Linked DNA regions of Tribolium castaneum. The protein of the gene in region 3 interacts with the protein of the main gene of each other region in a pairwise test. Links are inferred from orthologs where the notes say so. Each region holds a gene or a part of one and is shown on either strand. Other genes may lie near its edges.

The links. The genes of interacting proteins can lie anywhere in the genome.
Region 1: the proteins of Golgi to ER traffic protein 4 homolog (region 3) and eEF1gamma interact in a two-hybrid assay, tested with the Homo sapiens proteins (2 studies listed by BioGRID and IntAct, with this or other methods). The link is inferred for Tribolium castaneum from reciprocal best matches to the Homo sapiens genes GET4 and EEF1G.
Region 2: the proteins of Golgi to ER traffic protein 4 homolog (region 3) and ATPase ASNA1 homolog interact in binary tests that used the Homo sapiens proteins (3 or more experiments, as listed by UniProt). The link is inferred for Tribolium castaneum from reciprocal best matches to the Homo sapiens genes GET4 and GET3.

The regions. Positions count from the first base shown.
Region 1 is NC_087402.1:7,326,689-7,330,689, forward strand, and holds eEF1gamma (elongation factor 1-gamma), read right to left. Parts: upstream 2,812-4,001; 5' UTR 2,663-2,811; coding exon 2,651-2,662; intron 2,533-2,650; coding exon 2,383-2,532; intron 2,328-2,382; coding exon 2,112-2,327; intron 1,914-2,111; coding exon 1,619-1,913; intron 1,204-1,618; coding exon 1,156-1,203; intron 1,104-1,155; coding exon 643-1,103; intron 596-642; coding exon 440-595; 3' UTR 319-439; downstream 1-318. Other genes in the region: cnir (protein cornichon homolog 4), read left to right, coding at 1-171, 222-288. UniProt on the Homo sapiens protein: Probably plays a role in anchoring the complex to other cellular components.
Region 2 is NC_087402.1:8,577,428-8,580,413, reverse strand, and holds ATPase ASNA1 homolog, read left to right. Parts: upstream 1-1,327; 5' UTR 1,328-1,353; coding exon 1,354-1,463; intron 1,464-1,512; coding exon 1,513-2,395; 3' UTR 2,396-2,475; downstream 2,476-2,986. Other genes in the region: uncharacterized protein LOC103312779, read left to right, coding at 1-660; cyclin-dependent kinases regulatory subunit, read right to left, coding at 792-1,037; Arp10 (actin-related protein 10), read right to left, coding at 2,491-2,986.
Region 3 is NC_087399.1:11,237,528-11,241,713, reverse strand, and holds the start of Golgi to ER traffic protein 4 homolog, read right to left. Parts: upstream 2,804-4,186; 5' UTR 2,759-2,803; coding exon 2,646-2,758; exon of another isoform or gene 2,574-2,645; coding exon 2,495-2,573; intron 2,445-2,494; coding exon 2,241-2,444; intron 1-2,240. UniProt on the Homo sapiens protein: As part of a cytosolic protein quality control complex, the BAG6/BAT3 complex, maintains misfolded and hydrophobic patches-containing proteins in a soluble state and participates in their proper delivery to the endoplasmic reticulum or alternatively can promote their sorting to the proteasome where they undergo degradation.

The sequences.
Region 1 (4,001 bases), on a different chromosome or scaffold from region 3:
CTTGCCAATGGCATTTTGGATGGTGTATGAGTTAGTATCAGTGCCAAGTGGAAATTTGGGGATCTATGACCCCACAGAGATTCACAATAGAGGTCAATTAAAGAAGCATATGAGGGACTGTATGATTTATTTAGGATATTATTTACTGTTCTTTTTTGCGTATCTGTACTGGTGAGTTGTGTCTATTTATATCAAACATTGCGCAACTTGTTTATTTTTAGCATGATTGTGGCTTTGTTGAAAGGTGATCCCCTCAACAGAGACGATCAGTTTGAAGCCGACTTATAGTGTAATAGGTTTATTCAAATAAAACATAAATTATCCTCAAAGCGTTTTATTGAAAGAAAAACAGTTAGGGTTAAACAACTGACAAACGATGGATTTAAATTAAATTATCAAAAGGACATGGTTGTAAAAAAAATATATTACACCTCAGGTTTTACTTAAAGATTTTGCCCTGGTTAAACTTCCTTCCCTTTTTGTCAGTGCCAGTCCATGAGAAGTATTGGGCAACTAATTTTTTAGTCTCTTCTGATTTTGCATCCAATTTCTTCCAATCATACGACTCGTAGTCGATTTGCCAGTCAGGACTCAACTACAAAACTCAATCAAACCAATTTTAAAAACACAGAATCAACGTACAGTGAATGCGAGGTCGTGGCCCCTCCACACCCAAATCCCGGAGATTGAACTGTTATTGTCCTCACCAAAAAGACAAACTGAGGCAAAGGCTTGTTTGCGCATTTTATCCAATCTCTGATACATTCCGGTGATCAAATTGCAGCTCATAAAAATCTTAGTGAGCTCTTCAGGGTACTTATATTCCCCGTACCAAATAGTGTAGTTTTCAGGATCGAACTTCTCCCAGAAATACGGAATTGATTTGGCTTCATCTTCGTTAGAATAAAATCTCTTGAAATCGTCCATATTGAACGTCCCTTTGGGCATGGATTCAAAGGGGTCCTTCGATTTGGGCTCGGCAGCGAGCGCTGCTTCAGCCGCATCCATTTCTTCAACGGGCTCTTTCTCCTTTTTTGGTGTTTCCTTTTTAGGCTGCTGCTGCTGCTTCTTCTCTTTTTTCTCCTCTTTCTTTTTGTTCTTACCTGTTGGTGGAAAAGCAACTAAGCAAGACGAATAAAACCACACTTAACTTACTCTTCTTTTTATTATTTTTCTCCGCAACAATACTGTTAGTATTAGCAGCTTGTAAAATTATTTTTGGGTTAAGGGATTTAACACAGGTTGCAATAAACTGAACAGTACTTAATCCATTATGTGCAGCATATGGACACTAGGATGCAACACATTTATTGCGATAATTGCTTTGAACACCGTCGCATATTTATCAAAATACTAGAAATACTGTTGAAGACAAAAAAAGTCTAGGAATATAAAAAAAGTCCCCGGACTTTTTGCACTTTCCAAACTCGTTAGGTAAACAACTATTACACACTAACGTTAGGAAACAGAAATCGAGTTAGTACCGACGTTTGCTTCCTAGTATTTAACTCTCCATAGTACGGTATACATTATAAACAAGACCATTTACTCATAGAATTTTATGCAGCAAAAGAATTAAATACTGATCATTTGAACCGTTAAAAAAACTTTGGCTTACCTTCACCTCCCTGCGCGCCGGTGAAAGGTTGTGCAACTTTGTCCAAAAATTGCACCTGGCCCAAAACGGCCTTAAACTGAGGTTGGTTGATTAAAGTTGTGAACCATCTGTTAACGTTGACGAATGGTTTTCTAAAGTCGGGATCGAACGCATATTTGTATAAATTTGAAAGATTGCAAGCTACAACAATATCAGCTAAAGTGATACGTTCCCCAACTAGATAAGTACGGGTAAGCAAATGGCTGTCTAGGATTGCCAGAGCAGCCCTCATGTCCTCCTTGGCTCTTGCATATCCCTAGAATCACGAAAACTGGGTCAGTCTAGTGACAAAACTGGGCGAAAATCACTTGTTACAATAATATAACTTAACTGAGCGCCACCGAGACACTCAGTAATGGGTAATTGTCTTAATATACCTCCTTGAGTTACAAATCAACCAACCGGATTGGTTAATTTGCCTTTGAAGGAGGACGCGAGAAAATACGTAATTTACCTCCTCAGTGGCGGCGTTCTTCTTGACAACCCCCAAAATGGGGAACACCCAGGCACAGCCAGCTGGGAGTATCTCCGACTCTCCAAAGCCCACCCATTGCAAAATCTGGGCTTTCTCGTACTCCGACTTGCCTCTCAATTGTTCATTGGCGACGTAGTAAGCAATTGCGTTGCTGTCTTGCAGATACTTGCCATCGTTTGACTCGAAAGCTGGCACCTATACAACTGTCCAGTGTGACTTAACCTCAATTTTGAAGCGCGTCCAGACTCACCTTTCCACTGGGAAATTTCTTTAAGAATTCTTTCGACTTGTTGGTTTCACCGAACACAAAGTTTGGGCTTACTTTAACATTGCTTTTGGAGTACTGGGCAGCGATTAAAGCCTTAGCAGCACGGAAATTGTCGGGATAGGTGTACAGTGTCTGAAAAAATAAACACAAAACTGTCAAAGATAATGCCGGATTTGGGTTATTCAACGGTTTTCTGCCGATGATTGTGTCATAAATGCGAGATATTTGAGGAAATTTCGATAATACTTACTCCTGCAGCCATTGCTCGTCCAATTTCTCACAGAAAAGGACTTGAAGAGTTTGACAGCTGCATAGGGAATTTTGGGCTTGCGGTCTGGTGACGTGTCGGGCTTAGGCCTTTTTTTTTCGATTTTTACAGCCTCGAAATGCCCGCTTTTGTGCAAAAAACAACACTAAATTGCACACATCTTCCAGGAATTATACAAATTATTTTTTTTCTTTAAAAAGGCCCACTAAAAATAACAGAACCGTACTTAGACTTTCTGCCCTAAAGGATTAAATGCCTATTTTCTAGTAGGCTTTATAAGGTACTTTTTATCTTGTATGAAAACCAAGAAAACGCTGATTATAATAATTAATTAAGCTGAAGAACTAAATGCACCTGTCTATCAATTATATACACATTATATACAAAAAAAACGTCTATTCTAATTATAAATTCCGATGATCGCGTGGTATCTTTGTTCCTTGAATAAATAAAAAATACTTGATAATTCCACATAGTAACGTATTTAGGTGCATTGCCGCCTCGGGGTACTTAACTTTGGGCTTTTCTGCCTATGACATAGTCTTTAAAAAAGAAAAAAACATTTATTAGTTAATTCAGAAAAGAAGAAAAAAAATATAAATATTTAAAAATAAACACTTTTTATTAACAGAGAGACATTTTTTGCCATACTTTGGAAAGTTTTAAAAAACTAAAGCCAAAATATAGTACTTTTTACTCTGTTTTTACAGCCTGTTCAATTATCTAAAAAAAATTTGGTGTCGTTTTTTTTGAATTACTAAAAAAATAACACAAAAATTTCTAATTTTTGTTTTTTTTTTTTTACAAGCAAATACCAAAGAAAAAGTAGAACATTCTTCAGGCAATTTTTACAAAAAAATCTAAATCCTTCGTCATTTTTTCCAAGGCGTTCTTGATTACAGAGTTGCAACACTCAACTTTGGGTATTCTTATGAATGCCACATTTGCATTTCGTATTTGTTATAAGTGTTTTTACTTCTGATGACAACGATGTATCATCACGTGATATGATTGAATCTTACATGCAAGAAATCATTTTTGCGAAGAGTGCTTTGGAAAATGTCAAGTCGAATTTTTCTTCTGTGTTTGTTTTATTGAATAAACACTATTATTTTTTTATTTTATTTGTAACTTTGGTTGTGCGATTAATTTATGTTTTTGGTGATTGTTAGATGAACAGAGATTAAGGATATTTTGTATAAAAGTTGCCTGAGCCCGGCCCTGTCCGCTGTTCGCGTTGGCTACCCTGCCCTAACCACGACTCATTACCGATACCAACCTCATAAAATTCAAAACGAAAAGTCATTTCGTTCATGTGATGTGGTCAATGATT
Region 2 (2,986 bases), on a different chromosome or scaffold from region 3:
AACGGAAGCAAAAAAGTGTCCATGCACGAATTTAAAAGCGAGGCTGATCTCATCCGTATGAACAATAAAGCATTTCAGGAACTAGAAACTACAATTAAAACGGTTCAGATTGTTAAACCAAATGGAAAAACACAAAATGTTAAGAAGCAGGAGAAAAAAAGTGTGTCTAGTGAAAATTTGGCTTCGATTATGAAACAGCGGAATGATATTAAACGCGAAATGAAATCCGAGGCGTCTTCGCGAGCTGGAGGTGATGAGAAAATAAGCCGCAAAAATAAGCGTGATTTGCATACAGAAGTCAAGCAACTGCCTAAAGAAAAATGTAAAACGTTTTTGAAAACTTCGAGGATAAAATCGTTCGTGAAACCAAACCCCAGTAATCAACAAATGCGCCGTACGACGAAAAATGCGATGAAGAGGCAGCAAGTTTTGACAATTTTACCCAAAGTTGCGAAAGAAATTAAAGAGAAAAAAAAGCCGCAAGTTCGTTTGGTTGAACCCGGGGAAATAAAAACCGTGAAAATGAAAGACAGTTATTGCGTGTCCAAAAAGTCAAGTTACGTGAAATTTTCTAAAAAAATTTTGCCCAACAAAAAAATTAATCAGACGAGTTGGGAAGAAGAGGATGGTTACAAGGTTGCCTCAGTGGTGGAAGACTAATCTGTTTAAGTCTTGTCTTGTGTAAAAACGTGCAAGTGAAATAAATTGGGTTTTGATAAAACATATTATTTATTTTTTACATAATAAAAAACTTAAACCTATTTCACACTTAACAAATTTGCACAAAGTCCTTACAAGCCATTTGAGTTACTTTGCGACAGCGGTCGCCTAAACAGTAAAATGTGTGGCTCAGGAGTGTGCAACATGTAATGTACCCAATTGGGGCTTTGTTGTACCCCCAAATTGCGCCATTCTGTTTCGGTCATTAGGTGGGCCCGGGGCACGAGTTTGGCCAAATCGGCGGGTAAAATAACGTGCCGGTACTCGTAGTGCTCGTCGGAGTACTTCTCCGAGTACAAAATGTTATTTACCGGCATTTTTACGCTACAAAATGATTTGTTTTGATTGACATAACCTCAAAACCGGCATTGAAAACGTACCAGTGCTGTAAAATGCTAAAATAATGTGCTGCTACTCGAAGCAAGCAGTTAATGCACTTTTTTAAATTCGTTAAACTCGTCACTGGTGGTTCAAAATTATTGTTAAATGATAATTTAACGTTATTGTTTGAATTACGCGAAATGAACGAACGCCACTGGAATACAGAGTGGCCACCTCAACCACGTAGATAAAAAGAAAAAAACTAGAGTCGAGGTGTCAAGTTTGAGGTTAACTCAAAAAACAGAATCAACAATGTCAGATTTTGAGCCCCTGGAGCCCTCGTTAAAGAATGTGATCGACCAGACGACCCTAAAATGGATTTTCGTCGGTGGCAAAGGCGGTGTGGGCAAAACCACTTGTAGGCAAGTTCTGTCACGTCACGGCGAGTTCAATATGTAACCCCCTTTCCAGTTGTAGCTTAGCAGTCCAACTGTCGAAAGTCCGCGAGTCTGTACTAATCATATCAACCGACCCGGCCCACAATATATCGGACGCCTTTGACCAAAAGTTCACAAAAGTGCCAACTCTTGTAAAAGGCTTTAACAATTTGTACGCCATGGAAATAGACCCGAACGTGGGTTTTAACGAGCTCCCGGACGAGTACTTCGACGGGGAGCCTGAAGCAATGAGGATGAGCAAGGGCATCATCCAGGAAATAATAGGCGCCTTCCCGGGCATAGACGAGGCCATGAGCTACGCAGAAGTTATGAAGTTAATCAAAAGTATGAATTTCTCGACCGTGGTGTTCGATACGGCCCCCACAGGGCACACCTTACGGCTCCTGTCGTTCCCTCAAGTTGTTGAGAAAGGTTTAGGGAAGTTGCTACGATTAAAATTGAAGATTTCGCCACTTGTGTCACAAATTAGCGGCCTTTTGGGCATTCAGGACTTTAACGCTGACACTCTCTCCTCGAAAATGGAGGAAATGCTGTCGGTCATTAAACAAGTTAATGAGCAGTTCAAAAATCCTGACCAGACCACGTTTGTCTGCGTGTGCATCGCAGAATTTCTGTCGCTTTATGAAACCGAACGACTGGTCCAGGAACTAACCAAATGCAAAATCGACACTCACAACATTATCGTCAATCAATTGCTATTTAAAAAACCCGACGAAAATCCGTGCAAAATGTGTCTAGCAAGGTTCAAAATCCAGGAGAAATATCTCGATCAGATTAATGACTTGTATGAGGACTTCCACGTCACTAAATTACCCTTACTGGAGAAGGAAGTCAGGGGCGGGGACAACGTTAAGGCTTTTTCCGAGTATTTAATACACCCATACACCCTTAATTAACTTATGTAACTTATGTTTTTGTGTTGAAATGCTTTATTATGGTTTTTTAGGTGATTAATAAAAAAACAAAATACAAACAATTTATTACAAAAAAATTAAAGAGTCCTATTATCCCTCATATTGGGCCAATCGGGTAAGCGATTCTCCAAGAAATACTTCTCCCGTGTTAAGGCCTTCATGCCTAAGACTTCCGTTGCCCCATAAATGCCCCCACCCAACCACGCGGCATAATTTTCCTTACAGGGTGGACTATGAAACTTGAACGTCTTAATTCTCAATTTCTTGTACCTCTCATATTTCAGTTGTTTGTGTAACTCGTCTTTCAGTCTTGCTTTAAATCCGGGGGCCATGACACTACCCCCAATTAAGAGAATGTTTTCAGCGAGTTGGTTCCTCAAATGCATATCAACTTTTAGTATAGCATCAAGGATCATGGTAGAGAGGCTCAAATGGTCGTTATCTTCATCGTACAAAATTTCGTAAACCTTTTCGCGCACTTTTCCCGAGATTGTTATCATGTCGGAGCCCCCGATGGGGTACTTGACCTCGGGGGCAAAAGTGATGTCAGGTTTTGCCAAACTAAATTGTTCG
Region 3 (4,186 bases):
TTTTTATGAAATTTGCAACACACTATTTAATATCAAAGCCACCTGTTTTGGTGCTAATTTTTTTGTTATTGTAAAGCTGTAACTTATTAACAACTTTACACATTTGAGATATATCTTTATAATACATTCTCCGAGAAGCTAATTCTTTTCTTAATCGTAAAATCCATTATTGTTACTAGTTTTTTTTATCTTACAATTTTTTTTGTTTTTAAAAGAAAAAAAAAATATTTAAGTAGACGTCTTAAAATTTCGGACGATCGCCAATTATTATTTGGTTTAAAAAATCCATTTCCTTAGATTTTAGTAAGTACAAATTGTTATTTTAGTTATTAATTTATTTTAAATATTTGTTTGGTACAAACTGAACGGTATTTAGAAATTCACAACTGTGCTTTTTTTTGTTTAAATTAATAACTAGTTACAGCATTGTTAACGTAAGCGGTAAAAAAAAGGTTTAGAAAACAATAATACAGTTATTTTAGGAATAACGCAACCTGAGACCAAAATTTTCAAAATAATTTTGGTATGTAAAGTTTTTTTCAAAATACACGATTCGGTTTACATTTAATGTAATTTGCAACAAGAGATTTTTTGTGGATTTAAAATGGGAGAGGACATCATTTAAATTGAAATAATTCATTGGGTACATTGCCTTGTAGGCGATAACATTAAATACTGTTGACAAGTGACGTACTACAACTGTTGAATAATTTTTGAAGAGTTTTTTTCTAGTTTCTGGTAGTTTAGAAAATGGAAATCGTAATATGTATAACTTTTTTATTTTTGTAAATTTGCTATCCCGTCCGTTATTGCAAATAAATAAATGTTGTTATTTCTTTCATCGTGAAAAAGACCAATAATTTTTAGTTTGCAATGTCTAACTTTGATATTGTTAGTCTTTAATAATTAAAACCTGTCTGAACCATTCTTTTTTAAGTTATTTTCATATATAAGATTTTTTGTCCCATTTGTCGAGTGTTAACAAAAAGTAAATCAATCATTGCCTTATTTTTCGGTTTTGTAGTTTCAAAAAGTTCAACAGGTTTTTTTACTTTAAAAATAGTTGTTGGAATTAGTGCCTTTTAAATTAACTTTTCATAACGATTTTTATAATTATTATTAATTTTATAACGATTTTTTTATAACGTCCGTCATCAAATTGTATTTCTCTTTCGTCCTCGTATTTTAAATTTTACAAATGCAAACATTTTGTCTGGTACTAAATTCCTATAAAAAAAAATTCACCTCTACTGATAGTACTCATAAAAACTGAAAATAATATCTAAAAATTTGAGCAGTGTCCTGTCTGTTAAAATTTAAAATGGTTAAATAATAATTTTCGAAACTTTGAAATTTTGACACGTAAACTTAACTATCTCTATTCAATGTGTTAACGATAGGTAAATAATTCACAATAATAATAGAACACAAAACAATAAATATCGACTATTCCAGTAAACGTATTAAAGAAAAAAAAATATTTTTTTTGGCGCCACCTAACTTAAACGGTGCAACTTAGTACTAGGTGAGACAACCTTATCGCGCACCCAAAAAATTCGCAATTTCTAATGAATGAAAATCCTAAAATTTTACAATTATAAATTTTTATTTAGTTGGTTAAATAATCGGGCTTTTTTATTTAAACGCAAACCAGACGTGTGATTCATTACAAGATGGTATAATTTGCCAACAAAGGGATCACTTACCAGTAGCCGACCTTTTTGTAGCCCCTTATTTACAGTAATTCCATAAAATTGACAAAAACTGATGCCTGTATTCAAATATCCCACGAAATCTTTTACAATTTTACCCCAATTACAGTTCGCATTGTCAATTACATTTACGACGCCACAAGTAGCAGCTCATAAATAAAAATAATTTTTAAAGTTAAAATGTATAAGTGCGTTTAATTCAAAATCTGATTGGAATTTTTTTCGTTAATTTCGTAAACAATTATCTGAAGTGAATACGCGTAGTTTAGTATAAAATTCAGAATTTGCCCCACCTGGTATAGGGCCACAAGTTGGGTTAAATCGCGTTATTTTGGTACACCTGTAGTAAACTTTATCCTTTTACAAACCCACTTTGTATGTATACAGTTAAAATAAGAAATGGTAATTAACTTGTTAGTTTTCCGTTACCATTTTTATAACGATTAAATAACTAGTGACTCATACCAACATGACAACACTTTGACAATTATTTTAGAAGAGAAGAAACAAAATTTCGGGGAAACCCACCTGGTGCAGGAAAGGGTGTCCAAAACTTCGATGATTAGAAGACCACCTTAAGGCCTGTGCTAGAAACGTCTCCCGTTCGGGAGTTGTGGAACTAATGCTTGAAAAGATTTTGCACAACTTTGGAGTCCATCCGTCGTAGTCTTTCTCCTCAGATTTGACTAGAACATCCACTAAAAGTATTGCTAAATCTGCACCGCTGATTTGCTGCAAATTCGCTAATAATAACACATGCCAGAGATTTGGGTACCAAACACCTGATCGTGTTCGAGAAATAAAAGGGATCCATTGTAGAGCATGTCAAGAGTTTCTTTGTATTTTTTCTGGGCCAAGTACCTGAAACGTTGAGGTTAGGTGTGGAACATTCTGGAATTTTGATTCATGAAAAGGAGCAACTGCCGAAATTACCTAAAATATAAAGTCCTGTACATCTGGTGGGCTTCATAGTAGTTACCATTTTTGACGGAATTTTCTAACTTTTCTAAAACTCGAGAAACACCACGGACACTGGAAGCCGCCATGTTTATTTGGGAAATGTCACGGTCAGCCCCGATGGAGAATTTTCAGTTTTACAGTTTAAACCCTGACATTCTAAATGTACAGTGCGTTTCAACCTTAAAAGAACACTTTCAAACCTTTCTGATCGCTTCCGATTTTCTCTACTAGTGGGCAAACACAATGAGCCTATCGTCGTATTTACCTTAATTCTAATTTAAGAAACGTAGAACTTTATAAATTAATTGTGAATAATTTGGAGAACAATTTAAAACAGAATCTAAAGATGGATTTTACATCTAAAAACGGCTTCATAAAAAATCAGAAAAGATTTTTATAAGAAACTTAAAAAAAGTGCAGAAATGATACTACAAAAAAAATGTGGAAGAATTCTGAATGAAACAAGAGAAGATTTTTAAACTCTAAAAGAAAATTTGAAGCATGCATAAGAAATGTTTTTTTTTTAAATTAGTATTGTCTAGAAAATAATTCTAAAATTCTTACCTAGATCTAGAAAAAATTTAAAATAAATCTTAAGAAAAATTTAATGAAGAATAGAGAAACATTGCTGAAAAATAATTGAGACAAATTTTGAAAAGACGCAGAGAGAAATTTTGAAGAGAATTTCGTGGATGTGAATAAAATGTATGTAGAAGTTTTGAAACAATTTTGAAAAAATATTTAATAGTGTTTTGTACAATAACTAAATGCAACGGTCTGTTTGTCTCTTTCGTTCTTTTTTATTTTTAGCAACCTGTATTTAATTAAATTTAAACTCATTTGCATTTTTCAGAGTGAAATGGAAAGTTTCTGGGCTCAAAATTTGTTGCTGGGATTTAGTTTAAACTTTTTTTTTTTTATTTCTTATTCTTTCAATTTGTGCTTTATTTCACTCAAAAAATTCAAATAAACGATTGCAAATTTTTACCAAGTTTGTTTGAGAAGAAGCAAGTGGCACAGTTGGCAACATTGCCGCCATTATCTGTTTTTAACAGTGACAATGGTTTAGTCAAAAAATGTGGATATTTTAGGTTAATTGGTTAACTTCAATTTCAATGAATAATTAACTTTTGGAATTTTTTCGATGGAATTGAAAGTGAAAACAACTTAATTTTCAGCTCTTCTCAAGGAAAATTATCCGTAGATTTGTGAATCTGAGTTTATTTTTCATCCGCAATTAAGATACATTATTATTATTAATTGTAGCAATTTTATTTTTGTTTTATTAATTTTTTATCGAAGTTAGATAGCTCGAATAAAAACACAAATTGATAGTTTTTTTATAAGAAATCCCAGCGACAAACTTTGAGCCAAAAAAAATCCTCCAAAAACTTACTCCGTGGTCCATTTCACTCCAAAAAGTGGAGATGCGTTGTTCAAAGATTCTATTATCGCTTCACTTTTATAAAAACCACGTCCTAGTGTAAATTCTTTATATTTGGCCTGTGCAAGTC